3 linked regions of the Anolis sagrei genome follow. The protein of the gene in region 2 purifies or fractionates together with the protein of the main gene of each other region. This does not show direct contact. Links are inferred from orthologs where the notes say so. Each region holds a gene or a part of one and is shown on either strand. Other genes may lie near its edges. The genes, in order: RNF41, SUGT1 and NOD1.

Region 1 (10,225 bases), on a different chromosome or scaffold from region 2:
ACTTTCCTCCAACACCACAGCTCAAAAGCATCTATCTTCCTTCGCTCAGCCTTCCCGAAGGTCCAGCTCTCACATCCGTAGGTGACTACAGGGAATACCATGGCTTTGATTAGGCGGATCTTTGTTGCCAGTCTGATGTCTCTACTCTTTACTATATTATCGAGACTGGACATTGCTCTCCTCCCAAGAAGTAAGCGTCTTCTGATTTCCTGGCCACAGTCTGCATCTGCAGTAATCTTTGCACCTAGAAATACAAAGTCTGTCACGGCCTCCACGGTTTCTCCCTCTATTTTCCAGTTGTCAATCATTCTTGTTGCCATAATCTTGGTTTTTTTGACGTTTAGCTGCAACCCGGCTTTTGCGCTTTCTTCTTTCACCTTTATTAGAAGGCTCCTCAGCTCCTCCTCGCTTTCGGCCATCAGAGTGGTGTCATCTGCATATCTGAGGTTATTAATGTTTCTTCCAGCAATTTTCACCCCAGCCTTGCATTCATCCAGCCCCGCACATCGCATGATGTGTTCTGCATACAAGTTAAAAAGGTTGGGTGAGAGTATGCAGCCTTGCCGTACGCCTTTCCCAATCTTGAACCAGTCTGTTGTTCCGTGGTCAGTTCTGACTGTTGCTACTTGGTCCTTGTACAGATTCCTCAGGAGAGAGACAAGGTGGCTTGGGATGCCCATCCCACTAAGAACTTGCCACAATTTATTATGATCCACACAGTCAAAGGCTTTAGAATAGTCAATGAAGCAGAAGTAGATGTTTTTCTGAAACTCCCTGCCTTTCTCCATTATCCAGAGGATATTGGCAATCTGGTCTCTCGTTCCTCTACCTTTTCTAAACCCAGCTTGAACATCTGGCAACTCTCGCTCCATGTATTGCTGGAGTCTTCCTTGCAGGATCTAATACTATACTTGCAGGATCTAATACTTGCAGGATCTAATACTATAGAGGCCTACTATATTTCTTCTCCTTCTCCCTGAAGGCTTTAACTATTTTTCCTCAAAGAGGTATCTTTCTAACAAACAGTTCCCAAAACTTTTCCTTCCTTCCCCTTCAAATCTCCTAACCTAACCTTTAAACACCAAACTCCCAACTGACTAAACTATGGCTGCCTTAGCTCCTCCCTTTCCCTATGACTCCACCCATCTCCAGTTGCTAAGCAACTGCCTCCAATTTCACCAGCCAATCAGACCGCACTTCCAGCTATGAGGCTGACTGATCACTCCACCCCCCTACTCTCCTTAGCTTTTCCAAGCCAGGTCTATTTACTGCCTTTACACCAACCCTACAAGGTAGACTAATCCGTTACAGCCTGATATGAGAATTAATAAATAGTTCAAAGGCACTAGATCCCATCTCATCTTGGAAGCTCAGCAGGACAAGCACTTGGGTGAGAAGTGTTTTAGGCTGTATTTTAGGCCGCCCTGAGTCCCTCCTCGGGGGTGAGAAGGGCAGGGTACAAATGTATGAAATTTAGAGGAAGGAATTCAAAAACCCACCTCTAAGGGTACCTGGTCTTTAAAAAGCGCTATGAAATTAAGGTGAAATAAAACAAGAATATGTTTATATTTGTTATAAATCGATAGGCAACTTGAGGACACATCACACATGAAGGTGAATGACACAGAACTTTGAAGGAGGGGACTGTTAAGAAGTTGTATTTTGGAAGTAACTTCAAACTCATTATACAAATAAATAAATTATTGCTACCTTAGGTCCCTTCCACACTGCCCCTATATCGCAGGATCTGATCCCAGATTATTTGTTCATCTCAGGGCCCTTCCAGACAGGCCCTATAACCCAGGATCTGATCCCAGGTTTTCTGCTTTAAACTGGATTATATGAGTCCACACTGCCAGATAATCCAGTTTAAAGCGGATAATCTGGGATCAGATCCCGGGTTATAGGGCCTGTCTGGAAGGGCCCCCAGATGATAGGGAAATGGAGACTCATATAATCCACTTTAGAGCGGATAATCTGGGATCAGATCCTGGGATACAGGGCAGTGTAGAAGGGGCATTACTCTCATGGCACCCTTTTCTCCACAAAGAGATTCTTCACTGCTTTTAACTTATCACCCTCAAGCTCTGAATATCATAGACTCAACCATTTCAATCAAGGTCCTTGATTTATTCCCGCTTGTGGTACAGAGTTGACAGAATGCAAATCTGCAGGTTTTACTTTGTGGTTTCCTTTTCTTTTTTCTACTAGAACCTCAAGCGCCACCAACCAGTCAGATGGTGACTCTGATAGACAGAGAGATGCTAAGGAACAGAGCACCTCTGGGCATGTTCTCTGCCCAGGAATTTGTGGTCAATACCTGAACTGAGGCTGGATCGACACTGCAGTTTGAACTGCATTACAATGGTCAGTTCAGAAACTCATATAATGTAGTACAGTGCATTATTTGGCAGTGCTGATCCAGCCTCAGTTCATAAGATGTTTCAAATAACCACCCCAATTCCACACCTTCCAGCATAATTTTTCTGCAACCTAGGTGGTGACCAACTTTACAGGGAGTCTAATGTGTCCAGTGATAAACAAGTAAATGCCAATCTACTTTTTTTTTTTACTGTTTCTGCATAGGTTATATCAGGCCCCATTCTACACTGCCATATAATCAATTTTATGAAAACAGATAATCTGGATTTTATATGGCAGTGTAGAAGAGGCCTGTGTTAATTATACTCCCTCAGTCTCAGGCCCCTTCTACACTGCCACATAATCCAGATTATCAAAGCAGATAGTCCACATTATCTGCTTTGAACTGGGGTCCTTTCCACGCAGCTGAATAAAATCTCACATTATCTGCTTTGAACTGGGATATATGGCATGTGGACTCAGATATTCCAGTTCAAAGCAGATATTGAGTCCCGGCCCTGAGTTACTGCCCCCCCCCCCCCCAGTAGAGAAAGGCGGGGTATAAATAAGGTAAATAAATATTCCGCCTTGATATTCTGAGTTATATGGCTGTGTGGAAAGGCCCTGGATTATATAGTGTACACCAACATATGATCCAGTTCAAAGCAGATTTTATATGGCAGTGTAGAAGGGGCCTCAGAGAAAGGCCATGGCCAACCCCTTCTGAACACATTTTGAGAAGAAAAAGGGATAGGGACTCCATCCTCAACTTGAAGTAACATGAGAACAGGGGGGGAAAGTAGGATGAAGAGCATTTTCTTTACAGAAGGAAGGAATGAAGGAAGTTGCAGAGAATCTTCTTAACTTGCAACAGATGTTATATAAGAGGCAGAAAAACCTGTTTATTCTCTTTTCAAAAAGAACATTGATCATATCTGATTATTCAGGCCTCAAAAAGTACTGCTGTCAAGTTAAATGTTATTTTTGGCTTTGTTCTGCCTTTGGTTATACCTTTGTGCACACTTATGCAAAGGGAGAAAAAAGTGGAAGGGAAATGACATCAGGCGAACTATTTGACTCCAGAAGCAGAAGACAACTCCCCACTCATGCCTAATATAAAATCCCTGAGTAAGGATGCATCTACACTGTCAACATTGGTGATCACTCGTGTCCGAGTGGGATGGCCTTCCAAGCACAGTGTCTTGGTGGTGGGTCTGTAGGTGACTCTGGAGCCCACTTCTTGATCCGCATGTTCTTCTGCAGTGAGGACATTGGTTTCCAGATGGAAGAAGGTCCTGGTCAGGGTTGGCTTGATACACCTTCCTCTTGATGCATTTCTCACTTTCGCCCTCCGTTTGTGCCGCTTCCAATTCCACAGCACTTTGGTCACAGCTGACCTCCAGTTAGGGCGCTCACGGACTAGAGCTTCCCAGTTCTCAGTGTCTATGCCAGTTTTTAAGATTGGCTTTAAGCCCATCTTTAAATCTCTTTTCTTGTCCACCAACATCCCATTTTCCGTTCTTGATCTGAGAACAGAGTAACTGCTTTGGGAGATGGTAATCAGGCATTTAGACAACGTGGCCAGTCCACTGGAGTTGATGTCGTAGGAGCATCGCTTCAATGCTGGTGGTCTTTGCTTATTCTAGGACACTGACATTTGTCTGCCTGTCTTCTCAAGAGATTTGCAGGATTTTCCGGAGGTAGCGCTGATGGAATCGTTCTAGGAGTTGCATGTGACGTCTGTTGAGTGTCCACATTTTGTAGGCATATAACAGAGTTGGGAGAACAATGGCTTTATAAACAAGCTCCTTGGTCTCCCTATAGATGTCCTGATCCACAAACACTCTCTGTTTCATTTGGAAAAATGCTGCACTCGCAGAGCTCAGGTGGTGTTACATTACAGTGTCAATGTTTGACTTTTGTGGAGAGATGGTTACCAAGGTAGTGGAAATGGTCAACATTTTCTAATGTTACATCATTAAGTTGTATTTCCAGCATTGCAGAGAGACTGGCTGGTGCCTGCTGAAAGAGCACTTTTGTTTTCTAAATGTGGAAAAAACCATGCTTTCGTATGCTTCTGCAAATGTGTTTCAAGTAACTTGTAGGCCTTCTTCTGAATGAGCACAGACTCCATTATCATCAGCATATTGCAGTTCTATAACAGATGTTGTCACCTTGGTTTGGCTTTCAGTCTGCTGAAGCTAAATAACAGAATGAGTTAAATGTACACTGTAGAACAGGTATGGGCAAACTTCGGCTTTCCAGGTGTTTTGGACGTCAACTCCAACAATTCCTAACAACCAGTAGACTGTTAGGAATTGGAGTTGAAATCCAAAACAACTGGAAGACCAAAGTTTGCCCATGCCTTCTGTAGAATGGGTGTAGTTTGACACCACTTTAACTGCATTGGCTCCATGTTATGGAATCCTGGGAGTTGTAGTTTGGTCAGGCACATTTTTGGCAGGGAAGGGTACAGAACTTCTTAAATTGCAACTCCCATTTTTCCATGGCATTCAGCCAGGGCACTTAGGACAGCAAAAAAGGTTTTCCCCTGACATTAAGTCCAGTCGTGTCCGACTCTGGGGTGTGGTGCTCATCTCCATTTCGAAGCCGAAGAGGCGGCGTTGTCCGTAGACACCTCCAAGGTCATGTGGCCGGCATGACTGCATGGAGCGCCGTTACCTTCCCGCCAGAGAGGTACCTATTGATCTACTCACATTTGCATGTTTTGAAACGGCTAGGTTGGCAGAAGCTGGGGCTAACAGCGGGAGCTCATGCCGCTCCCTGGATTCGAACCTACGACCTTTCGGTAAGTAAGTTCAACAACTCAGTGGTTTAACCCATTGGGTGCCTCCGGCGTGCAGCTGTACAAACAAGCCCCTCCCACTCCGGCACGCCCACCCCTCAAAGCCCCTCCCACTCGGCCGCCGCGTGCCTCTCCGCCTGGCTCGTCGGGCAGCGGGCGATACATAGAGTGGGCGGGGGTGAGCGAGTCGCGTCTTTCTCCAGGTGGCTAGAGTGGTCCGCCTCGCGCGCCCTCCTTCAGTCTTCCCCATCCCCGCCTCTGTGAGGGCACAGAGACAGAGAGAGAGAGAGACGGGCATCCGGGTTGGAGCTGGCGTGTTTCCGGTGGTGGCTGTGAGGGAGAAAGAAAGGGGTGGGGGAGCGAGCGGCGGAGCGGCGGATTCCCCCACCCGCAGCCGGGCCCCGCGGGAGGTAGGCCGGAGCCGAGGCGGGGCGGGGGCCTGCCGCGGGGAGCGGGAGAGCGGGGAAAGGCCACGGGGCGGGGGGTGGTTTGGAGGCACAGCGCCTGAGGGCCGCCGCCGGTCGCGCCTTAGACGCCCTTGTTGCCAGGGAGGCCCGCTGGGCAATCGGGGCTGTTCGACGCCCCCTGTGCGGCCATGGCTCCTGGGATGTGTAGTGTGGTGAGGCACCGGCCTCCTTGGGCAGCAAAGGCTCAAGGCCTGGCCGAATAGCAGCTCCCAGGCTTCCACAGCAATTGAGGCATGGCAATTAAAGTGAGATCAAACTGCATCAATTCTGCAGTGTAGACGCGCCCACAGTGGGGCTTCCTCTTCCAAGGCTTGACAAGCACTTCCAGGCAGTTCTGGCCTCCGCAGTGTATGAGAAACTACCATGAGCAGAAGGTATGTCTAAGGCAGGCATAGGCAAACTTGGCCCCTCCAGGTGTTTTGGACTTCCGGCTGTTAGGAATTGTGGGAGTTGGCGCCCAAAACACCTGGAGGGCCCAAGTTTGCCTATGCCTGGTCTAAATAGAAACAGTGAGGACATGTTTGTTGAAAAACGGCAAACTGACCATGAATGTGAGGAATATCTAAGGGGAAACTCAATGGGAATAATAATAATAATAAGAAGCATTATTTTTATTACTTGGGTTGTTGTAGTTTTTTTTTTTTCGGGCTATATGGCCATGTTATAGAGGCATTCTCTCCTGACGTTTTGCCTGCATCTGTGGCAAGCATCAAGGTAGTGAGGTGACTAGGTGAGGTCACTACCTCTGAGGATGCTTGCCATAGATGCAGGCGAAACGTCAGGAGAGAATGCCTCTATAACATGGCCATATAGCCCGAAAAAACCTACAACAACCCAGTGATTCTGGCCATGAAAACCTTTGACAATACATTTTTATTTTTTACTAGCTGTCCCCTGCCACGCATTGCTGTGGCCCAGTCTGTTGATCTGGACAATAAAGTAATGAGAAAGTGTTGGTTTCTATTATATGTAATTTCTTTATGCTTGTGGGTAAAGAGTATTTCTTGCTTTTTCTTTGTCAGTGTTTATGTGGAGAGTGTCTGGTTTGCCTCCATGCAACATATCATTGTCCTTCTTTAAGGGTCTCTTTCAAATCTATGATACTATATCTCTCTCTGTGTGAATCATATCTATCTATATCTATCTATGGCTGGATGGCTCCTTGTCAGGAGGACTTTGATTACGTTTTCTTGCCCTGATGAAGGTAGTTGTATTGCATGACCTTAAGTATTTTCTGTTGGTCATGGGGGTTCTGTGTGTGAAGTTTGCCCCCGATTCTGTCCTTTGTGGGGTTCAGGATGCTCTTTGATTGTAGGTGAACTGTAAATCCCAGTGACTACAACTCCCAAATGTCAAGGTCTATTCCCCCAAACTCCCATCTGTGTTCATATTTGGGCATATTGAGTGCTTGTGCCAAGTTTGGTCCAGATCCATCATTGTTTGAGTCCACAGTGCTCTCTGGATATAGGTGAACTACAACTCCCAAATTCAAGGTCCATGCTCACCAAACACTTCTAGTATTTTCTGTTGGTCATGGGAGTTCTGTGTGCCAAGTTTGGTTCAATTCCATCGTTAATGGAGTTCAGAATGCTCTTTGATTGTAAGTGAAATATAAATCCCAGCAACTACAACTCCCAAATGACAAAATCATAATTTTTTGAGTGATGGTCACTCCTTGTGTTGTGAGACGTTTTGTTGCCAAATTTGGTGTGATTTTGTTCATTGGTTCTTTTGTTTTTAAGGTAATCATTATGCACAAAGCATTTATATATATATAGATTTGCTTTGAAGTCCAAAACACCTGGAGGGCCCAAGTTTTGCCCATGCCTAGTCTAAAGAGAAACTGTTTGTTGAAAAACGGCAAACTGACCACGAATATGAGGAATATCTAAGAGGAAATCCAATAATAATAATAATAATAAGCATCATTTATCTTTATTTATTTCAAGTATTTATACCCCTGTCCTTCTCACCCCTGGAGGGAGACTCAGGGCGGCTTATAACAGCCAACCATTAGATGCCAAACAAATACATTAAAATACACAGTTACAATGAAAACAGCAATTAAAAACAATTATAAACATTCAATTTAAAACAGTCCGCCAGTTCAGAATCATAGTCCAAGGTCAGTCTATTGCCGGTCACGTCAAACATTCTCTTCCTAGTTGCTACATTTACTGCTCAAATGCTTGAACCCACAGCCAGGTTTTAATATTATTATTTTTTACAAAAGGCCAAGACAGAGGGCACAGACCTAATTTCATTGGGGAGGGAGTTCCACAGCCAAGGATCCACCACGGAGAAAGTCCTGTCTCCCATACCCACCAGTCTCACCTATGAAGGTTGTAGGACCGAGAGCAGGGCCTCCCCAGATGATCTTAATGTTCTATCCTGCCCCCTCTCCCCAAAGGGACTGGACAACTTACAGAAAAACAAACGAATGCATTATATAATGAATAATAATAATAAGCTTTATTTATATTCCGCCCCTCTTCCTAAAGGACCTCAGCAACTTACAGACAGTGATCAAATATCAATTAATAAAACAAAATAGCACAATAGTGTAAACATAAATAACAGTTTTAAAAACTGTTTAACCCTCTAAAAACAGTATATATAGAAATGGTGTTTAACACCAGCCAATAAGTGTGTTGAAAGATAGTTCCGGTTTATTGGCTCTTTGAGCAACAAGGATGGAGACTGGATGATGTCATTGTATTGCCAGAAACTTTAGCACGATTTACCAATAATGTAAATGTACCAGACCTTTTGGGAAACCTTTAATGATACAGTGCACACAAACACACACACACACACACCCTTTATCCACAGCGGAAACTCCCAGACTTTGCATGGATATGCAGAGTCATGGATAATAGCACCCAATTGAAATGAAGGACTAAATTATTCCTCAGGAAGACCATAAAGCCATGCTGGAGGATCTAGAACAGGCATGGACAAACTTTTTCCTTCCAGGTGTTTTGGACTCCGACTCCCACTATTCCTAACAGCCGGTAGGTTTGCCCATGCCTGATCCAGAAGATGCCTAGAGAAAGACACAAGGGATTTTTTAGGAGGTGGATCATTAAAACAAAGGATTCCAGTTCCCCGGATACTGTACTGCTGACTAGCTGGGCATCTGAAAAATATTTTTGCAACATTTATGTGCCAATAATTTCATTTATATAGGTTCAGTACACTTTATCTGAAATACTTAGGATCAGAAATGATTTGGATTTAAAAATTTGAATACCTATTTACAAATGTGTTTACAATAAGATATCTTGCAGATAGGGTGCGTGTCTAAATATAAAATTTATTTGCATTTTCTTTGCACTGTACTGTATATATAAGATGTTTTAAAATGATGGACCCAGTTTCAAAGCAGTATATTTCTTGCTTCAACATGTTACAATTACACAAAAGGTTACAAACAATTTAATGAGTTATAATGTTTTACTAACCACTTTGAGACCGAAACAAATCTAAAAAAAGAACTCCACACATGGAGGCTCTCTTATTAGGCCTTACGTTGCATGACTTGTGAATGACTGAGGCCAGAGGCTGTTTGTGCACTGGGAGAAGCAGCTGTAATCATTGGAAACCATGCCCCGCTCTTTCAAATTGTAAGAGTTGAATTGATGAGAGGTTAATTGTTGCAGAGATATAGCAATTTCAAATTGGGTCCAACTTTTGAAACACCCTGTACATAGGCTGAATGGATTATTATTATTATTTACACCCTGCGTTATCTCCGCAAAGGAGATAAACATTTTTATTAATAATTTTGTGCTTTAAATTGAGTTTGTATACATTGAACCCTCAGAAAACAAGGGTGTCACTATCACAGCCCCCTCTGTGGTCAATTTTGAATTTTGCATTTCTAGATATGAGATGCTGTATACACTCGTGTTGTCATAGTTGATATTTTCTAATGAAAATAAAACTGTTTTAAAATTTGATGGAGGGAAATTTACCAGGAAAGTTTGGAAACTGGCCTTAACAATCTAGTAAGTTAAAAATAGGTCTTAATAGGAAGCAGGGGTTGAAAGAAACCTATGAGATAAATATTTTTTACTTTTTTGGAAAGTAGCTTCGGAGTGTGAACAGAGGTTGAAGAGAGACTCTTATGTTTTATGTGCCTCTAGAGACATGGATTCCATGATCTCCTTTGTATTGCAGAAATTGAGGACAGAAGCAGCAGCATCATGAATGAGATGCACTTGCAATGTTTTTCTCTAGATCAGAGCTTTTAAAACTTTCCATTTATGACCCTTTCTCCTTTTTACCCATGAAATGTTTATATGACCAAAAGTATATAGGTATATTCAACTGGTATAAAAATCAAACATTTACTGAAAATAAACCAGCATTTACAAGGCTTGCTAAACAGGCTGATTTTTCTTTTTGTGGAGTACAGCTGAAGCATTTTTTGCAGAGTTGACTATAAACACTGCATGTTGTTGCTGTTAACTTGTTAGGGTTGGGTAAATAACCCTAACACATGGCTGAAGAGAGTTGGACTAGATGGCCCTGGGGTCTTCCATTGAAATACTGTAAAGATTTATGTTGGTTAACATTGTTCTTCATT
Region 2 (10,507 bases):
GAGTGGTGTCATCTGCATATCTGAGGTTGTTAACGTTTCTTCCAGCAATTTTTAACCAATTTTTAATGTGGTCTATCCAATGCAATTTTCTGAATCAGTGCCCCTAATAACCCCAGAAACAGACCTAAAAAGGTGTTGTTGTTGGACTGTGTTATTGGTGGCCAAGCTGCATTTACGATGCTGTAACCCACTGAGTGACATCAGGCAAGTCACATTATTACAGCCTTAGAGGACGGCACTAGCAAATTAATTCTAAAGAAATCTTGCCAGAAAAATACTGCACTGTAATAAGTTCACCTCAAGGTTGTAAATAATCAACTGCAATATCAAATACACAAGTTATCTAGTTTCTACCATTGCCATTTGCTTTCTCATCCTATTGTAGCCTATGTTACATTCTTCACTGACAGTCTATATACCAAAACCCAGTACGTGCTATAGTCATTCAAAGCTCTACAGATGCCTGACTTACCAGAATGAAGCAAATATCCAATTGCTTCCACTTGCTCATGCTGATGAGTTTTCCCCTTCAGGATAACACAGTGGTAGAAAATTGGGCCCAGGTTTTGCAACCCATAAACAATCCCTCAGTCTTCAAAAACCACCTTTTTAAAAATTAATTGACAGAAACCCCGCCTGAACATAGCAGCAGAGGAGGAAATAAGTAAGGAAGTTTTGGCATTCTGATAGCAGAAACCCACATGCTGTTTAAAAAAAACTTAGCCTGTTTCAGAAAGTAGCAAGCCATAATAAACAATACCTAGTTTTGAAAATATGGCGCTTCCCACAATGAAAAGTTAAACCTATTACTGTGTTCTCTGCAAGGTTTATTCAGAGGTTTGCCTTTGCCTTACTCTGCCTCACCAAACTACAAATCCAAGGAGTCACAGTAGTTAAAGTGGTAATCCGACAATTCAGATGCATTTCTAGTCCTACACTTAAACCACTACATCAGACTGGATCTCAAAGAAACCACATCTTCTATCAACGCCATAAATTTTCTTTCAGCCCAAGATGAAGATTAGGGCTGTGTATAGGCAGCTACATTAAATTATGTCTCTGATACTATTTAGTCTTCTCATACTCATAATACCAATGATTGTATTAAGGTGTTCACATTTTTCAAGTGTACACTGTGAAAAACAAACTGAGTGGGAAATGCAGCACTTCGATGTGTTAACATTTAGGATGGAGGAGAGAGAAGAAAGAAGAGGCACCTGGCAGCACCTCTTTCACTAACGAATTTTTAATTTTGCATGCACTTTCAAAGATATAAGTCTCGCCTATAAAGCATACCTATACAGTGGTGGGATTCTAATAGAATATTATAGGACACAGAAAAATGCAACTCAAGTCCTATGTCATAAATGTTCAAAGAGATGTGTTTCTGAGAATTAGCCTGAAACAAAATAAATTAAGGAAACTGGCATTTATATCTTCAGGAAAATTCCTGAAGCCCACACTGTATTCGCAGTCCCTATAGAGCCCTACCATTATATTGTTTCAAAGTCCTTTTTGACCACCAAATAGCACATCATCCCCAGGGCCGTTCCACACAGCCCTGTATTCCAGAATATCAAGGCAAAAAATCCCCCATTATCTGCTTTGAACTGGGTTATCTAAGCCCACACTCAGATAAGGTGGGATTTTCTACCTTGATGTTCTGTGATATAGAGCTGTGTGAAAGGGCCCACAGGCATTTTAGGTCCAGTATTTTTTTCTTTAAAAAATGAAGTAGATCCCGGTTCTCTTCTAGGCTAGTTCCACTACTTGCTATTGCAGTAGTCTCACGTATCCAACATAAACGGGCTGGCAGAACATTAGATAAGCGAAAATGTTAGATAATAAGGAGGGATTAAGGAAAACCCTGTTAAATGTAAAATTAAATTATGATTTTACAAATTAAGCACCAAAACATCATATTTTACCACAAATCAACAGAAAAAGTGGTTCAGTACATGGCAAGGTTATGTAGTACTTGCTGTATTTACAAATTTAGAATCAAAACATCAAAACGTATGGAAACAGCTGCCTCGATGAGAGGCAGACTGCATTGGATACTACAAACGTTGGATAAGCAAGACTCTACTGTAATCGCTTTACCACTTAAAAGAGGATTCCTCCCAAAAAGAATGTCTCCAGATGAAATGCAATCCATAACGGCCCAAATTGTACAGATAGATGTACAAGAAATGCATGATTTGTATAAGAAGTGTAATTCTAGGCAAAGTATATACTGCTGGTTATTGTTAACTGCTGACAAGTTGACCCTGTAACTGAGAGACCTCCAAGTCATTCTAACGTGGAACCCTAGGGTTTGATGAAACACAGTTTGGGAACCTCTGCTCTACAATGTTAAAGAACTTTCTTAAAACCTTAACTTAACCACCTGCTTCGCCATATGCTTGGGTGCACAGAAACATTTTAACTGCTTTTTGAAGGGGGCAACGAGAGGGCCATTTTGATTTCCTTCAGAAGGGAATTCCAGAAGTAGGGGGCAAATGCAGAGAAAGCCCTCTCTCTTGTACCCAACAGCCGGATTTGAGGCAGGAGCGCCTCCCCTGATCGCAGTGTCTGGACAGGTTTGTATAAAGAGAGGTGGTTGGCCAAACACTCTGGACCCAAATAATTTAGGGCTTTAAAAGTAACAACCAGTATTTTAAATTTCACCCAGTAGCAAACTGGGAGCCAGTGGAGCTGCTGCAGCAAGCAAGTTGTTTGCTCCCTGTACAGTGCTCCGGTTAGTAACCTAGCAGCCGACCTTTGCAGCAGCTGAAGCTTCTGAGCACTCTTCAAAGGCAGCCCCACATAAAGCGCGTTGCAGTAGTTCAGTCAAGATGTAGCTAGGGAATACACTACCATGGCCAAATCTGGCGTCTCAAGGTACGTGCGCAGCTGGCACACAAGTTTTAATTGTGCAAAGGTGCTCCTGGCCACTGATGACACCTGGGGCACCCCCACGCTGTGTACCTTGCCTCAAGGGGGAGTGTAACCCCATCCAGCACAGGCTGTATCCCTATACCCTGAGCTGCCTTGCAACTGACCAAAAGCACCTCTGTCTTGTCAGGATTTAATTCTAATCTATTCACCCTCATCCAGTCTATTACAGTATATAGGTACCAGTTCAGGATGAGAACAGGATTCTTGGCTGGTTTTAAACAATATCTATATATAAATGTTGTTTTTAAAGGACTAAATAGTCTTGTAAACTGGTTATTTATTTATGTTTACATTATTATGCTATTTTGTTTTTAATAAGTGATATGTGATGATATGTGATTATTGCCTATGTTATATCATTGACTGTATTTGTTTGTTCTTACTGTAAGTCGCCTTAAGTCTCTTCGGCACAAGGGGGCAGGATATAAAAATATTATTTTGGTGGAAAGGGGTAATGAAGTTGGGTATCATCTGCATTAACTCCAAAACTCTGGATGATCTCTCCCAGTGATTTCATGTAGATATTAAATAGCATGGGTGACAGAATACCTGAAAGCAATGGATTCAAATAATCAGAAAGAAAATTCCAAGGAAACATTGGGGACCCTTCTACACAGCCATATAACCCAGAATATCAAGGCAGAAAATCCCACAATAGCTGCTTTGAATTGGGTTATCTAAGTCCACACTGCCATATATTCCAGCCCAAAGCAGGTATTTTGGGATTTCCTGCCTTGATATTCTGCATTACATGGCTGTGTAGATGGGCCCTGAGTCCACACTGTCATATATTTCAGTTCAATGCTGGTGTGGGATTTTATACAGCTGTGTGGAGGGGAATAAAAATGCGGATAGTGGGAATTGTTTTGACTATGGAATATGCTGCCGCCTCCAAGACAGTAGTCTCCTTCCTTGGAGGCTTTGAAGCACAGGCTGGGTGGCCATCTATTTATTTATTTACGACATTTATATGCCGCCCTTCTCACCCTGAAGGGGACTCAGAGTGGCTTACTATATACATACATTATATTATTACCATAGTACAATATCAGTGTTATATATTACTATATTACACTTACCCTATAATCCTTACATATCACCTGTCACATCAGCACTTGGTGTATTGTTTATTGCTTGTTGTTTAATTTTGCTTTAACTGCTTTAATTTTTTAAATTGCTTTAGGTTGTGTATTGTTATGTTGTGTTTGAGGCCTTGGCCTTTGTAAGCCGCATCGGGTCCTTCGGGAGATGCTAGCGGGGTACAAATAAAGGTAATAATAATAATAATAATATATTGATGTATTTTGTTATTGTGTGTTTATTATGCTGTATTATTTTGGGCTTGGCCTCATGTTAGCCGCCCCGAGTACCCTTTGGAGAGATGGTGGCGGGTTATGAATAAAGTGTATTATTATTATTATTATTATTACATTGTACTATACCATTATATTGTAATATTATTTGTAATATTACATGCAATAGAAAATATATAATTATAATATATTATTATTAGTATTATACTGTATTACATTATAATATTATAAATATTATATGTATATACAATATTCATCTATCATGGATGGTTTGTACTTTTCCTGTATGGCAGGGGGTTTGGTCTGGATGGCCCTTGGGGTCTCTTCCAACTTTATGATTCTACACACTATGGACCCTTCCACAGAGTCCTATATCCCAAAATATCAAGGCAAAAAATCCCACAATATCTGCTTTGAACTGGGTTAACAGAATCCACACTGCCATATATTCCAGTTCAAAGGAGATAATGTGGGGTTTTCTGCCTTGACATTCTGGGATATGGGGCTGTGTGGAAGGGCCCTCCAATATAGGAACAGCTATCCCACATCTGGTGAACTGAGCTTTTGTTCAGGAAATGTCAGGCCGTGAGGGAAGCGGGAAGTCGCCACTGTACTACATGATTCTGTTTCGGGAGAGATATAGTTTTGGCCAGCTGAGAGGGAAAACAAACCAAAAAGCAGGGAGACCCGTGTGGCAAGAATGGAAGCTCCCCTTCCTACCTGCACGGCGCCCGCGGGGTCTTTCTCGACGTCGCACTCCGTCAGCCTGCGGAGAAAAGCGAGAGTTAGGCCCGAACGCGGAGGAGGAGCGGGGTGAAGGGGTGGGGGGTTGAGGGCTCACCACGAGACTCCCATTCCTGCCGCCTCCGCCATCATGGCCCCGCCGAGGAAACTTCTAGAGCGCGAAGATTTTGTTTCTTTCCGCTGTCGCGCGCGCCCTGTGACGTTGGAAAAGGCGGTGCCGGCGCGGCCTTTATACGTCAGCAAGAGTCCTCTCGCGGAGGGCGGCGGAGGAGTCAACATTCGATGGGGGGCGGAGCCTCCACGGCAGAGGGCCCGCCTCCCGGCGTCAATCATCTTCCAAAACAAGAGGGAAGTTCAATGTACTGTATTGTCGAAGGCTTTCATGGCTGGAATCACTAGGTTCTTGTGGGTTTCTTCGGGCTATAGGGCCATGTTCTAGAGGCATTTCTCCTGACGTTTCGCCTGCATCTATGGCAAGCATCCTCAGAGGCAGTGAGGTCTGTTGGAATTAGGACAATGGGTTTATATATCTGTGGAATGGCTGGGGTGGGGCACAGAGCTCTCTGCTAACAGGTTGCTAACAGGTTGCTAACAGGAGCGGCACTCAGGGAGCATACTACTCTCTTGCACCAGCTCCACTGGCTGCCAGTTTGCAACCGGGCACAATTCAAAGTGCTGGCGTTAGCCTATAAAGCCCTAAACGGTTCTGGCACTACTTACCTCTCCAAACGCATCTCCTCCTATGAACCAACTAAGACATTAAGATCATCTGGGAGTATTTCCAGGTGGAATGCTCTAAGGATCAGAAGGTAGAACTGTTGCTTTCTTTTTCTGACTCTATAGTGGATTTTCCAGTGCAGGAAAATAAAGATGAAACAGGAGTGAAGTAATGAGGAAAAAGTACAAACAGAGGGGTGTATCTTCTGAAATCCCCTTAAATTTCTATGAACGACACATCGTAATCGTGAAACCATTAATAATCCATCAAAGGAAGGCAATACAGAATAGCTGAAGAAATGTTCAAAAGTTGTTGACACTACACAGTTAATAGCACTGTGATTTTATTTGAACAACCATGTTTCCCTCCTATGGATTTATGGGATTTGTAGTGTACAGGAGGGCATTTTCAATTCTCACCAGAATGCTCCAGACTTCAAAGCCCATGATTCCATAGGATGTTACCATGACAATTAAGGTGGAATATAGAACTTGCACTGCATAGTATGAATTAGGCCCTAAATGTTGCCTCCAGCCTGTGGAGATCTTAACAGTGGGTTTATGGTGAGATTAGGTGAGCCCCCACCTTAGAGAGTTTTAAGAAAAATCTCAAAACCTGGCTCTTCCACTGTGATTTTGGAGATTAACCATTAACTCATATGCCCATTAACCCTCAATATCCATTTTTAGTGCATATGAAGGTCCTTTTCGACCCCATCTTGGAAGAGTTCCTCCCTCATAAAAATAATCCACTCCACTGCTGTCTCACCTCCTGTTTTTTATCCTTAATATTTTATTCAGGACATGCGGCCCACTCATTGTTTTATGAATGATTTTATTGTAATTTTATATAGTTATGTTTTATGTTAATCATTGTGTTCTTGTTTATGTTTTTGATTTCATTTATTTTATTGCATTGGTGGGCTTGGCCTCATGTAAGCTGCCCCGAGTCCCCATTGGAGAGATGGTGGCAGGGAATAAATAAAGTTTATTATCATGATTTATTATTGCTATTTCAATTGTTGTGTGTGATAGAAGTAACTATTTCCATTTTCAGTTCGTTTCAAAATGTTAAAGGAGCAGCAAAGAAAACTTGTTGCTCTATCTTGGCACTGATTTAGGGAAATCCTAAATTAGGGACAGGACAACGATTATGTTGTCCAGTTACAATTATGCTGTATTTTCTCCATTGGCGGCTATCACATACACTGAAGACAGAACAAAGGTCTTCGGTGAGGAGAGTCCAGGTCTCTTGAGTTGTGCTACAAATGTCAACAAAATAAAGAGGTGTGCTCTGTTTCTCCATTTTCTGTAAGTATAGAAAGCAAGATGTCACATTCCTCAAGACCACTTCCTCTCTTCTGTAAAACTTGCTCACACGCAATCTGATAAAAGGCAGGTGCTGAAGTTCGTTCATACATGTGATAGCGGGAAGGATCCACAGGGCCAGTGTGAAAGAGAAGAATTACAGTTATGCTGTTGTCTGTAACTAGTTTCCTTGTAGGTAATGGGTGTAAACAAGACACATTTCGCAAGTAATCTAACTTACATGAACCAAGTAGTCCCTATATAAGAATCAAGTTCCCTTTCCGGTTGAATGAGTAACAATTTCTACTTAATTTCAAGTGTTACTTGTAAAGGGCTATTTTAGGCATTTCTCAGGAATCTTTCCAGCGTTACCCCATTCTCTTATCAATTCTAAGTGTTTCCCCTGAAAAACGGCACACGTTAAAGTAGTAATGGGTAGGAATACAAACTAACATCCTCATCATCCATCTCCTACACTAGTTGTTTTCATCATTAAAACAAGTTTTTGCCACATGTTACCTTTAAAACACAGTAAGACAAGATAAAGATTTCCCCTGACATGTCTAGTCATGTCTGACTCTGGGGAGTGGAGCTCATCTCCATTTCTAAGCCAAAGAGCGGGCATTGTCTGCAGACATCTCCAAGGTCATGTGGCCAGCATGACTGCATGGAGTGCCATTACTTTCCTGCAGAAGCGGTACCTATTGATCTACTCACATTTGCATGTTTTCGAACTACTAGTTTGGCAGAAGCTGGGGCTGATAGCAGAAGCTCACCCCATTCCCCGGATTTGAATCGCCAACTTTTCCGTCAGCAAGTTCAGCAGCTCAGCGGTTTAACTCGCTGCGTCACCAGGGGGCCCGAGAGTAAGACATAATTATTATTTTTAAAATGCTTCTAAAGCTTTACGCAGAACAACTAAAAGCAGAGATTGTGTCTAGCTGTGCTGCCAATCCTGGATTCTCAACTGTAGTTGTGAATCTTGGTTTTGGCTGATAAAATTCAGATTAAAGGTCAATAGACTTTCATTTTTTAAAAATCTATATCAAGAATTAAGTGCAAGAGAAAAGGGTTCTAATCTAGTTTTCTATCCATAGTGCTTGTTTTTTTGTTTTTGTTTTCTACATGCAGGCAATTTCCTTCATACTGCATGCAAGGACATTCAGTCATGAGGGGCATCGATAGCATAGAAGAATACAGATCAGCTACAGCTTGCTTACTTTGTGAGAACCAGATCTCAGTACTTTTCCTATACAAACATCAAGCTTTTCAGTGATGTAAATTGTTTTGATTAAATTTATTTATGTGGTCATGAACATTTATTTATGTGGTCATGAACAATATTAATTATGGGAGGAAATATTCTCTCATTTACAGTTTTATTGAAACTCTGTGTATGCATCTGTATACATGTTTTTTATCATTTCAGAAGTAAATTGAGAATATATTGCAAGTCACTTCTGGTGTGAGAGAATCGGCTGCCTACAGAGATGTTGCCCACGGGACACCCGGATATGTTACCATCCTGTGGGAGGCTTCTCTCATGTCCCCACATGAGAAGCTGGGGCTGACAGACAGGAGCTCACCCCATCTCACTGATTCAAACCACTGACCTTCAGGTCAGCAGTTCAGCCGGCACAAAGATTTAATCCATTGCGCCACTACGGCTCCTTATACACATATATAAGAATGGCCATACAGATGCTGTTGGGAATACAACTCCCAGACCTAGCCAGTATAGACATGGGTGAGGAATTATGGGAATTGCAGCAGAACAGCACCTGCAGGGCCACATGATTCCTTCCCCAGATGTTTATGCCCATCACAGACAACTTATCAAAACTTTTCATACCTGTTTATCAACCCAAACTCAGAACTTACCAATAGAGAAATTCAAATATTCAGCTTAGACTCACAAAAGTGTGAATGCTCAAATGATAGCAACCAGTTACACACACCAAAAACAGCACATAATTCATTGTAAAGGGTAGGGCTTTACATGCAGTTGAACATGTTCATTATTATTGCTACAGCTTATAAGACGTTCATATTAAAATTGATTGTCTTATGATTTTCTTTCTTCCCTGTGGAAATGAATCAATTCAGACAATGGTATACTGTTATTAGACCAAGTAGTGAGATTTATAAATGCATCACACTGTACAAACTGACACATCGCCATTGAAATGGGATTTTTCTTATCAAATTATTGTTGCACAGGCATCTTGCCAAAGCCATGATAAGCAGAAGGAAATTCACCATATCCAGTCTGCAAAAAGAATCCTGTTTCTCTTCTAATGAGCAACTAACATTTTAATTCAATTTGTGTTAAAAAAATATTACATGCACAGTTTAACTTGTAAGCAAAATTATACTCAGCTTCACAATTCATTGAGAGGAATGTTCCACAAATAATCAAAGGGTGCCAACCTGAGAAAACATGCGTAGCCCTGATCATTTTTATTTTACTTCTGGGCCACTTGCCACAAATAATTTGTGTAAAAGCTAGAAGCATATTAAAGCAAATCCCAGCAGCATCATTTTCACTTAGTGCACATGGTTGAAGAATGCAGACATGAAAAAAATAGCTAGTTGCTGACTTCAGCCCCAGCAAATATAGCTGCCTAAGAGACTGTAAAATATCTGTGTTCTTGCTCAGCACTGTCAAAACCAATGATAAAACATAAAGTGAAACAATTTATCCACAGTTGACATCTTATTTGTATATTTAAAAACCACTAATGCTAATTGGAATTCTCATGCCACATGAAAATGTCACAACAGTGGTACTCAAGAGCAAATAAACATCAAAACAAAACCACCCTTTCTATTACTTCTCTATGATAAGGTGCTTAAGAGCTGTAAAAGATCCCAACAGCTATCCAGTCAATTCCCTGCCATGTCGGAAAGGCACAATCAAAGCATCCCCCGACAGATGGCCACCCAGCCACTGTTTAAAAGTTTCCAAAGAAGGAAAATCCACTGAACTCTGAGGCAAAAGTTCCACTTTTGAACAGCTCTCATGGTCAGGAAGTGCAGTGAGATATCCCTGTGAAATTGCAGGCGCAATATTTTGGACAAAAAGAATATACACAACGAGAGCTTAAGACAACTAGATACCAGGAGAAATACACACAATGAGGAGAAAGGGAATACAAATCACAGAAGGACTTTATTGTAAATTTCTCAAAGTGCCTTTAGACTCTCGAAGAAACATTTTATTTAAATACACCCTCCTTTCCATGATTAAATTTTCTATTGTGGGGCTGTCCAGATATTGTTAAATATATGTTTAGATTTTAATTCAAGGTGGAAGTATTATATCTTCTGTCATCATTTCCTTGTTGTGGATTTAATGATTGAATCACTGCTCCTAAAATGCTTAATGCTCGACAATGTTCTTACCATCCCCTGCTTGTCCTTCAGTCTTGTTGATAAGCACAGTGTTTGAGCTTTTGATATGGAACATGAAGTTAGTTATGTAC
Region 3 (11,245 bases), on a different chromosome or scaffold from region 2:
GGTTCACAGCCTGATGGTTCTGTAGGTGAGCAAACAGGTTTTAGAGTAAAATGAGGGAATGGAGGGGGGTTTGGAGCAAGATGAGAGTGAAAATGGAACTGTTTTGGAATCCAACAAGCAGGGAGAGGACAACAGTAGCTCATCTGAGAGAGCAGCTGACAGAGATACCAGGCTGATCATGATAGGGCTGAGATTCAGGTGCAGGAAAATCCATGAGAAAAAGAGGCAAAAGCAGGCCTCTCAAGGTCAAAGGAATGTGTTCATGTTTTGCAGTTCTTAAATTAGTGAGATTTTTGTTAGGATTTTAGATCAAGCACCATCGCATTTTCTCCTGACGTTTCGCCTGCATCTATGGCAAGCATCCTCAGAGGTAGCGAGGTCTATTGGAACTAGGAAAATGGGTTTATATATCTGTGGAATGACTGTGCAAAAAGAATCTGCGAACCCCCACCTCCTTCAAGATGAACTGAACCACCTCAACTGGGCTCTACAGGCCAATGGATACTCCACCTCAGACATCAGAAGAGCTGCAAGACCGAGAACAAACCACGAGAGTAAAGACAACGATCCACCCAGAGGAAAAGTGCTCTTGCCATACATCAAGGGAACCACTGACCACATAGGGAAGCTGATGAGAAAACACAACATACAAACTATCTACAGACCCACCAAGAAAATCCAACAAATGCTACATTCAGCAAAGGACAAGAAGGATCCTCTCACTTCTACAGGAGTCTACCGTATACCATGCAGCTGTGGACAAGTCTACGTAGGGACCACCAAACACAACATTGACCAAACACGAATCAAGGAACATGAAAGGCACTGCAGACTAGTTCAACCAGAGAAGTCAGCCATAACAGAGCACCTGATGAACCAACCTGGACACAGCATATTATTTGAGAACACAGAAATGCTGGACCACTCCAACAACCACCATGTCAGGCTACACAGAGAAGCCATTGAAATCCACAAGCATGTGGACAATCTCAACAGAAAGGAGGAGACCATGAAAATGAACAAAATTTGGCTACCAGTATTAAAAAATTCTAAAATTACAACAGCAAAACAACAAAGGGGAAACAAGACCTGGCTGTTCGAACAAGCATTTGGTTAAACAGTGTAATTGAACATAGGAATATGGAATAATGGATGATGAGACTGGATTCTGATTTTACTGTTGAGGCGCTAATGATTGTTATACGGATGTTTAATTATTTTTGTTACAACTGTTTTTAATTGCCCTATACTTGTCTCGTGATGTTTTGTATTGATGTTGTTCACCGCTTTGAGTCGCCTGAGGGCTGAGAAAAGCGGTTTATCAATAAAGTAAATAAATAAATAAATAAATAAATCAGGCACATCTAATCACCTCTCAACAAAAGATTGCCCCAGGCACTGCCAGGCCATCAAATGCTAATCAAGGTGGTCAGTTGAAACATTCACACCTAGCTCCAACACACAAGAGTTCTTTGTCCCACCCTGGTCATTCCACAGATATATAAACCCCTTTTCCTAGTTCCAACAGACCTCACTACCTCTGAGGATGCTTGCCATAGATGCAGGTGAAACATCAGGAGAGAATGCCTCTAGACCATGGCCATATAGCCCGAAAAAACCTACAACAACCCACCAACAATAATATGTTCCATGTTCCAAAGTAGACAAACCAGACATTCTCTACATTAACACTGACAAAGAAAGAAGTACTGTTTACCCTCAAGCATAAAGAAATTACATATATTAGAAATCAACACTTTCTCATCGCTTTATTTTCAAGATCACAAGACTGGGCCACAGCAACACGTGGCAGGTGATGGCTAGTCTATATATATAAATTTGTTAGGGGCATCCAACGAGGAAACAAAACTCAAAACCCCGCCAACGAAACTTAACCAAAATTCCCATGCCCACAACACAACCCATAAGGTACAAACATATCTACTCAAAATGAAAAACAACACAACAACACACTCACAAAACGGCAAAACAACAAAACTCAAAGATCCCCCAACGAAACTTAACCAAAATCCCTGTGCCCATAACACAACCCACAAAGTACAAACATATCTACTCAAAATGAAAAACAACACAACAACACACTCACAAAACGGCAAAACAACAAAACTCAAAAATCCCCCAACGAAACTTAACTAAAATCCCCGTGCCCATAACACAACCCACAAGGTACAAACATATCTACTCAAAATGAAAAACAACACAACAACACACTCACAAAACGGCAAAAGAACAAAACTCAAAAATCCCCCAACGAAACTTAACCAAAATCCCCGTGCCCATAACACAACCCACAAGGTACAAACATACCTACTCAAAATGAAAAACAACACAACAACACACTCACAAAACAGCAAAACAACAAAACTCAAAAATCCCCCAACGAAACTTAACTAAAATCCCCGTGCCCATAACATAACCCACAAGGTATAAACATACCTACTCAAAATGAAAAACAACCCCACGCTCCATCACTCCCCCCACCGCCTCACACACACACACAACCCCAGGCTCCATCACTCCCCCCGCCGCCGCACACACATACGCAACCCCACGCTCCATCACTCCCCTGCCCCAATCTTACCTCCTTTTACTTCAGGCCACCTCCAAACCCCACCCCGCCCCTTCCCGCCCTGTCAAAATCTAGGAAAGACAGGAAGGAAGGAAAGAAGGAAGAAAGAGAAAGGGAGGTAAAGAAAAAGAAATATATAAATTTGTTAGGGGCATCCAACGAGGAAACAAAACTCAAAAACCCCCCAACGAAACTTAACCAAAATTCCCATGCCCACAACACAACCCATAAGGTACAAACATATCTACTCAAAATGAAAAACAACACAACAACACACTCACAAAACGGCAAAACAACAAAACTCAAAGATCCCCCAACGAAACTTAACCAAAATCCCTGTGCCCATAACACAACCCACAAAGTACAAACATATCTACTCAAAATGAAAAACAACACAACAACACACTCACAAAACGGCAAAACAACAAAACTCAAAAATCCCCCAACGAAACTTAACTAAAATCCCCGTGCCCATAACACAACCCACAAGGTACAAACATATCTACTCAAAATGAAAAACAACACAACAACACACTCACAAAACGGCAAAAGAACAAAACTCAAAAATCCCCCAACGAAACTTAACCAAAATCCCCGTGCCCATAACACAACCCACAAGGTACAAACATACCTACTCAAAATGAAAAACAACACAACAACACACTCACAAAACGGCAAAACAACAAAACTCAAAAATCCCCCAACGAAACTTAACTAAAATCCCCGTGCCCATAACATAACCCACAAGGTATAAACATACCTACTCAAAATGAAAAACAACACAGCAACACACTCACAAAATGGCAAAACAACAAAACTCAAAAATCCCCCAACGAAACTTAACCAAAATCCCCGTACCCATAACACAACCCACAAGGTATAAACATATCTACTCAAAATGAAAAACAACACAACAACACACTCACAAAACGGCAAAACAACAAAACTCAAAAATCCCCCAACGAAACTTAACTAAAATCCCCGTGCCCATAACACAACCCACAAGGTACAAACATATCTACTCAAAATGAAAAACAACACAACAACACACTCACAAAACGGCAAAACAAAAAAACTCAAAAATCCCCCAACGAAACTTAACCAAAATCCCCATGCCCATAACACAACCCACAAGGTACAAACATACCTACTCAAAATGAAAAACAACACAACAACACACTCACAAAACGGCAAAACAACAAAACTCAAAAATCCCCCAACGAAACTTAACCAAAATCCCCGTGCCCATAACACAACCCACAAGGTACAAACATATCTACTCAAAATGAAAAACAACACAACAACACACTCACAAAACGGCAAAAGAACAAAACTCAAAAATCCCCCAACGAAACTTAACCAAAATCCCTGTGCCCATAACACAACCCACAAAGTACAAACATATCTACTCAAAATGAAAAACAACACAACAACACACTCACAAAACGGCAAAACAACAAAACTCAAAAATCCCCCAACGAAACTTAACTAAAATCCCCGTGCCCATAACACAACCCACAAGGTACAAACATATCTACTCAAAATGAAAAACAACACAACAACACACTCACAAAACGGCAAAAGAACAAAACTCAAAAATCCCCCAACGAAACTTAACCAAAATCCCCGTGCCCATAACACAACCCACAAGGTACAAACATACCTACTCAAAATGAAAAACAACACAACAACACACTCACAAAACGGCAAAACAACAAAACTCAAAAATCCCCCAACGAAACTTAACTAAAATCCCCGTGCCCATAACATAACCCACAAGGTATAAACATACCTACTCAAAATGAAAAACAACACAGCAACACACTCACAAAACGGCAAAACAACAAAACTCAAAAATCCCCCAACGAAACTTAACCAAAATCCCCGTACCCATAACACAACCCACAAGGTATAAACATATCTACTCAAAATGAAAAACAACACAACAACACACTCACAAAACGGCAAAACAACAAAACTCAAAAATCCCCCAACGAAACTTAACTAAAATCCCCGTGCCCATAACACAACCCACAAGGTACAAACATATCTACTCAAAATGAAAAACAACACAACAACACACTCACAAAACGGCAAAACAAAAAAACTCAAAAATCCCCCAACGAAACTTAACCAAAATCCCCATGCCCATAACACAACCCACAAGGTACAAACATACCTACTCAAAATGAAAAACAACACAACAACACACTCACAAAACGGCAAAACAACAAAACTCAAAAATCCCCCAACGAAACTTAACCAAAATCCCCGTGCCCATAACACAACCCACAAGGTACAAACATATCTACTCAAAATGAAAAACAACACAACAACACACTCACAAAACGGCAAAAGAACAAAACTCAAAAATCCCCCAACGAAACTTAACCAAAATTTCCGTGCCCATAACACAACCCACAAGGTACAAACATATCTACTCAAAATGAAAAACAACACAACACACTCACAAAACGGCAAAACAACTGAGCATGCGCATTGGTGCCCAGCCGCAAGTTCCATCGCGCGCGCACATGGCCTTCCGGCCAACGTTCCCTCTGCGGAAACCATGCCCACTCCAAGCTCCGCCGTGCCGCTTCCCGCACACACACACCCCCTGCCGCACACACACACGCAACCCCACGCTCCATCACTCCCCCCGCCGCCGCACACACGCACGCAACCCCACGCTCCATCACTCCCCCCACCGCCTCACACACACACACAACCCCAGGCTCCATCACTCCCCCCGCCGCCGCACACACATACGCAACCCCACGCTCCATCACTCCCCTGCCCCAATCTTACCTCCTTTTACTTCAGGCCACCTCCAAACCCCACCCCGCCCCTTCCCGCCCTGTCAAAATCTAGGAAAGACAGGAAGGAAGGAAAGAAGGAAGAAAGAGAAAGGGAGGTAAAGAAAAAGGGGGAAGGGAGGTAAAGAAAAAGGGGGAAGGAAGGAAAGTTAGAGGAAGAAGAAAAGGAAAGAAAAGGAAAGATGGAAGGAAAGAAAAGAGAGACAGCAGAAGAGAAAGAAAAAGGGGGAAGGAAGGAAAGAGATAGAGAAAGAAGAGGAGAAGGAAAGATGGGAAGGAAGGAAGGAGGGAGGGAGGGAGGGAGGGAAAGAAGGAGAGAAAGAGGGAAGATTGGCCACAGCAACACGTGGCGGGTAAAGGTTGTTATTTCTATTATTATGATGATGATGCTATTGTTCCTCTGAGACCCTTTTAGGGGGAATGGGAGAGGTGTCAGGTCCCAGAGGGAATGCATTGCATTATTGTTATTGTTATAATGGTGGTGAAATAAAAGGAAATAAAAAGAGAAAGAAGGAAGCAAACAGGGAGGGAAGAAAGGCAAAGGAAGAAAGGGGGAGGGAATGAAGGAAAGAGAGAAGGATGAAACCAAGTAGTGAAAGAAGGAAAGAAAGAAAGACGGAGAGAAGGAAGAAAGTAGAGAAAGGGGGAGGAAAAGGGGGAAGGAATAGGTAGGGACCTCTCTTTCATAATAGTCCAGATATCTACCTCAACTTTGATAAGTTTTACTATAGGCCACAGCAACGCGTGGCAGGGCACAGCTAGTGTAATAATAAATGCCTTTCAGGGCGCCTTTTGCAGGAGAGCGTTCTCTGCCTAGGCCACTTCCTGCGGCCGCCCTGCAGGGGGCGCTGCGAACTACACCACGCTTCCCATTGGAAAGGCAGCCAGGCGGGCAGGAGGGAGTCCTGGAGCTCTGTGCTCGGGCTCTGGGGGCGGCGGCTCCGGGAGATGCGATCCGGGGCGGGGAGTAAAAGCAGAAGCAGCCCCGCTTTCTCTTCGTGCCCCTTCGGCCCCTTTCGCTTTTCCTTTCTCCTCTTCTGGATCCTTCTGGTAAGTGGGACCGCGATCTTGGGGGGCTGGAAGGGGAGGCGACCCTGCAGCAGAGCCTTACTGGAATCCCAACTTTGTCGGCTTCGTGGGTGCCAAAAAAAGTAACTTTTATTCCAAGCCCAATCCCCGGAGGCAGCAGGAGAGAAGAAAGATTCAGGGAAACTCGGAGGAAAAGTTGCTTTTGACCGCCGAAGGGGTAAGAGTGCATCTACATTGGAGAACTACCGCAGTTTGATACCACTGCCATTTCTCAATACAGTGGAACCCTAAGAGTCGTCGTTTGGTGATGTTTGCACTCTTTAACAGAGAAAGGTCAAGAGCTTGCAAGACGACAACCCCCAGCATTGAGCCCTTGCAGTTAATAGGTGTCAAACCGAGTTAATTCTGCAGTGTAGATGCTCCCCTCGTTCATTAGCCAGAGCTTGAGGAATGCAAAGAAATGATTTGTGTGTGTGTTAAGGGCCTCATCACACTAGAGAAAAAAATCCACTTAAAATCTGGTTTCTACCTCATGCAGTATTCTGGGGTTTGTAGATTAGGGAGGAGCCTTTACGAACCTCACTAAACTACAAATCCTAGAATTCTGCAGGAGGCAGAAATCGGATTTTAAGTGGATTTTTTTTCTCTCTAGTGTGATGGGCAAACTTGGTGTTTTGCTCTACTAGTGTAATAATAAATGCCTTTCAAGGCACCTTTTGCAGGAGAGCGTTCTCTGTGTTGAAGGCTTTCATGGCCGGAATGACTGGGTTGTTGTAGGTTTTCCAGGCTGTATGGCCATGTTCCAGAAGCATTCTCTCCAGACGTTTCACCCACATCTATGGCAGGCATCCTCAGAGGTTGTGAGATCTGTTGGAAACTCGGCAAGTGAGATTTATATAGCTATGTGATGTCCAGGGTGGGAGAAAGTACTCTTATCTGTTTGAGGTGATATTCCTGCCGGGGGAATCCTTTGTTAGTTCGCCCTGATTGTTTCCTGTCTGGAATGCCCCTATTTTTGAATGTTTCACTTTGTTTACTGCCCAGATTTTAGAGGTTTTTTTAATACTGGTAGCCAGATTTTAGTCATTTTCATGGTTTTGTTCATTTTCGTGGTTCAACAGAAAGAAGAAAATGATGAAAATGAACAAAATCTGGCTACCAGTGTTTAAAACCTCTAAAATCAGGGCAGTAAAGAAAGAGCTACACTCAAAAACAGGGGGATTCTAGACAGGAAACAATCCGGGCCAGCTAACACCTCCCAACAAAGAATTCCCCCCAGGCAGGAAGCAGCCAGGCTTTGATCATTCAGTGCTAATCAAGATGGCCAACTGCAACATTCACACTTTCCTCAAGCAGGCAAGAGTTCTTTCTCCCAACCTGGAAATTCCACAGAATTGGCCCTAGAAATCTGTACGTGACCATATGAATTAAAACAACATAATTAAAAATCGGTTTGGATTAGGATTCTGGATTATGTGATTTAATGTTATATTAAGAGGTTGGGAGCCCCCAGTGGTGCAGCAGGTTAAACTGCTGAGCTGCTGAATGTGCTGATCGAAAGGTTGGTGGCTCAAATTCAGTAAGCGGGGTGAGCTCCCGCTGTTGGCCCCAGCTTCTGCCATCCTAGCAGTTCAAAAACATGCAAATGTGAGTAGATCAATAGGTACCACTCTGGCGGGACTCCATACAGTCATGCCGGCCACACGACCTTGGAGGCGTCTATGGACAACGGCAGCTCTTCAGCTTAGAAATGGAGATGAGCACCAAGCCCCAGAGTTGGACTTGACTAGACTTAATGTCAAGGGGAAACCTTTACCCCTTTAAGAGGTTTTTAATTCTATGTTTTAATGGCCTATTTGTTTATGTTCTATGTTTAATATTATTTTAATGGTTTAATTTATAGTAATATGTTTGGGTTATTTTAGTTATTATGCTTTAGGTTTGTATATATGTTGGCATTGAATCTTGCTATTACTTGATGTACACCACTTTGAGTCCCCCCAGGGGTGAGAAAAACGGTATATAAATATAGTAAATAAATAAATATTTAATAAGCCTTGGCACTATAAGAGGGTATCATGAGACCAGTCGCTCTCGTTGCAATGGTAGTAATGGTGAGGCTGCGGACCATATTTGTCATGAATGACTTTTCAATAACTTTAAAGCATAGGTTCTTTTTATTGCAATTTCCAGTGTGAGAGGGTATATCAGATTACAGAAAACATTTAGATAAAGAATGACATTGGACCTACAGACATACAGATTCTAAGCAACTACATTGGATTTACAATTACACTGGTTAACAAACAAACAAAGGGGAATTACATTTTCACTCAACATTCATACCACATATACACGCAATGATCCTCAGGCATTCAAATGTTACCATATCATTTTCTCCCTCCTTGGAGAAGCACGTGTTAGGCCAGACCCTGCTTTCCTGCAGCCTGCCAATGCATAGTTCCAAAACTTCCGTAACGCCATAACTTCAAAACACCAAAATGCATCCTTTCCCTAAGAACAATGCCAGGGACCAGATCTCTGTTTTCCATACAGCAGAACCTGACTCCCTGCACAAAATCTAAGACTCCAAAAGCGCACTTCTTCCTCTTCCCTTGAGAAAGAAGCCCCAAAGTGACCAGACTGCTCCCGTGCAGATCTGCCACTCTTCATAGGTACACTATCTCTCTCCTTCCCATGGAGCAGAGCATAGTGGGTGAACCAGACTCCTCAGGTCGGTCACATTTTGAGCATTATTAGACTGAGTCTTTACAACTTTGGGACTACATCAGCAGAATATTCCTATAAAATATAGGAATATTCTGCTGATGTAGTCCCAAAGTTGTAAATTAATGATAGACATCTTCCATCTTGGCTCCATCTCAGTTTCCTGGCCAGATGTTGACTCTTCTTGATTGGTGTTGACAAACACAAGGCCTGTGTTGACTTCCTTCTTAACATAAGGAAGGTTGCAAACATTTCCTTTATCACTGTCCCATTCTTATCAGAGATTACTTTTCAGATCTCATTAGCAGGTTTTATCCACATAGTTAGCCAAAATTATTAACTCCATCCATACAACTTTCATTCTTCCATTCATTGCCACACCTCATTATATCAAATCCACATTTCTCAAATCCACAATAATATTTTCGTGATATATTTTAGTTCTCGTGGACCACTGTTGGTCTTAAAAAATAGTTTTCTAAGATCTACAGAGACACTCGCTGGAACACCTCAGCAAGCGAGAGTCCAAAAGTGGCAAGCTCAAACTCAGAACCTCAACCAATGGCTGATACCAAATGAGAGACTCCCCCCTGGACACACAGAGGACTGGGCGACTTGAAAGACGCTGAACGGACTGCGCTCTGGCACCACAAGATGCAGAGCCAACCTTCAGAAATGGGGCTACAGGGTGGAATCCTCGACATGCGAGCGTGGAGAGGAGCAAACCACTGACCACCTGCTGCAATGCAACCTGAGCCCTGCCACATGCACAATGGAGGACCTCCTTGCAGCAACACCAGAAGCACTCCAAGTGGCCAGATACTGGTCAAAGGACATTTAATCAACTACCAAACTCACAAATTTTGTATTCTGTCTGTTTGTTTGCTTTGTTCTGTTAGAAATGTAATGTAATTGACTGGTTGCCCTGACACGATAAATAAATAAATAAATACATAAATACTGTTGGTCCACGGACCACAGGTTGGGAACCGCTTATCTACATGATGGCAACAACTAACAATGCATCAGCATTGAAAGGATTCAACGTTAAGGTGTAGGTGAATCCTATGCAGAGGTCTTTTTTGAATTTTGATACCTCATACTTTTTCATATGAACTCAAGGAGGCTAATAGCATTAAAACACCCTATTGAAATGGCAGATCACAAATGCCTAAAACAATAAATGACTACTACATCTTAAAAAGTAATAAAGGCAGTATAAAACAAGCAGCAGTAAAAGAAATCTAATTAAAAAGCTGCATAGTTGTGTTGTTGCTTGTTTAACAGTGAGTCAGTTATATTAATAACAAATATTCTCTAAAATGTGCACAAATAGATATATTTTTCATTTGGCGTTTGACTGACAAGAGAGGGGAAACTAGACTCTTTTGGAAGGGAGTCCCAAGTAGGTAAGTTAGATATAAAGGGAAGAAGTTGTTATCGATGACTGGGAAATTTATTTCTTGATGTTATATTTTGCCTTTTTCCAGGTATGTAAAGCAGTTCACAACATGACTCATAAGTAAAATACAACCAGAAATTGATTCTGATTGAAGAATATTTTAATATGCTGTTGCATTGAAACCAAGCATTAGCTTAAATTAGTTTGGAAGTAATTTTTAATGCAATTTCCATTTTTCTCTTCCACCTTGCTGGTTGATGGCCAAAAAGTTATATCTCTAAATGAGTTTCTTTTATTTACTTTATTTTTATCTCGCCTTTTTCCTGAACATGGACTTTTAAAATATTTTGCTATAAAGTAAGAACTTTTTAGCCGCTTCCTTTATCATTTCATTATCATTGTACATACTTTGGATTCAAGCTGAACTCCTGCATTGCAGTCCTGATGTTTCAAGCTTCTTCTAAAGGAGGAGGCACTCCCTTGTCTCAGGAATTTGTGACACATTCATGTTAGGCAATTCCTGGGAATGAACTGTGTTAACCAGAAACTCGAGCCCAAGAAGCTGAGACTTATATGGAAGGCTTCCATTGCTGAATCCTGCTGTAATATTACAGCGGTACATATGAAATCCATTGACTCACTTTTGGGGATGTCTCTTCCCCTAGCAAAAATCAGCATCCA

The links.
Region 1: the proteins of SUGT1 (region 2) and RNF41 purify together in Homo sapiens (affinity purification with mass spectrometry; 3 studies listed by BioGRID and IntAct, with this or other methods). This does not show direct contact. The link is inferred for Anolis sagrei from reciprocal best matches to the Homo sapiens genes SUGT1 and RNF41.
Region 3: the proteins of SUGT1 (region 2) and NOD1 purify together in Homo sapiens (affinity purification with western blotting; 3 studies listed by BioGRID and IntAct, with this or other methods). This does not show direct contact. The link is inferred for Anolis sagrei from reciprocal best matches to the Homo sapiens genes SUGT1 and NOD1.

What each region holds. Positions count from the first base shown.
Region 1 is NC_090022.1:138,315,950-138,326,174, reverse strand, and holds the start of RNF41 (E3 ubiquitin-protein ligase NRDP1), read left to right. Parts: upstream 1-5,284; 5' UTR 5,285-5,577; intron 5,578-10,225. UniProt on the Homo sapiens protein: Acts as E3 ubiquitin-protein ligase and regulates the degradation of target proteins. Polyubiquitinates MYD88. Negatively regulates MYD88-dependent production of pro-inflammatory cytokines.
Region 2 is NC_090023.1:141,077,918-141,088,424, forward strand, and holds the start of SUGT1 (protein SGT1 homolog), read right to left. Parts: upstream 5,338-10,507; 5' UTR 5,331-5,337; coding exon 5,095-5,330; intron 5,020-5,094; coding exon 4,974-5,019; intron 1-4,973. UniProt on the Homo sapiens protein: May play a role in ubiquitination and subsequent proteasomal degradation of target proteins.
Region 3 is NC_090026.1:80,380,988-80,392,232, reverse strand, and holds the start of NOD1 (nucleotide-binding oligomerization domain-containing protein 1), read left to right. Parts: upstream 1-6,172; 5' UTR 6,173-6,456; intron 6,457-11,245. UniProt on the Homo sapiens protein: Pattern recognition receptor (PRR) that detects bacterial peptidoglycan fragments and other danger signals and thus participates in both innate and adaptive immune responses.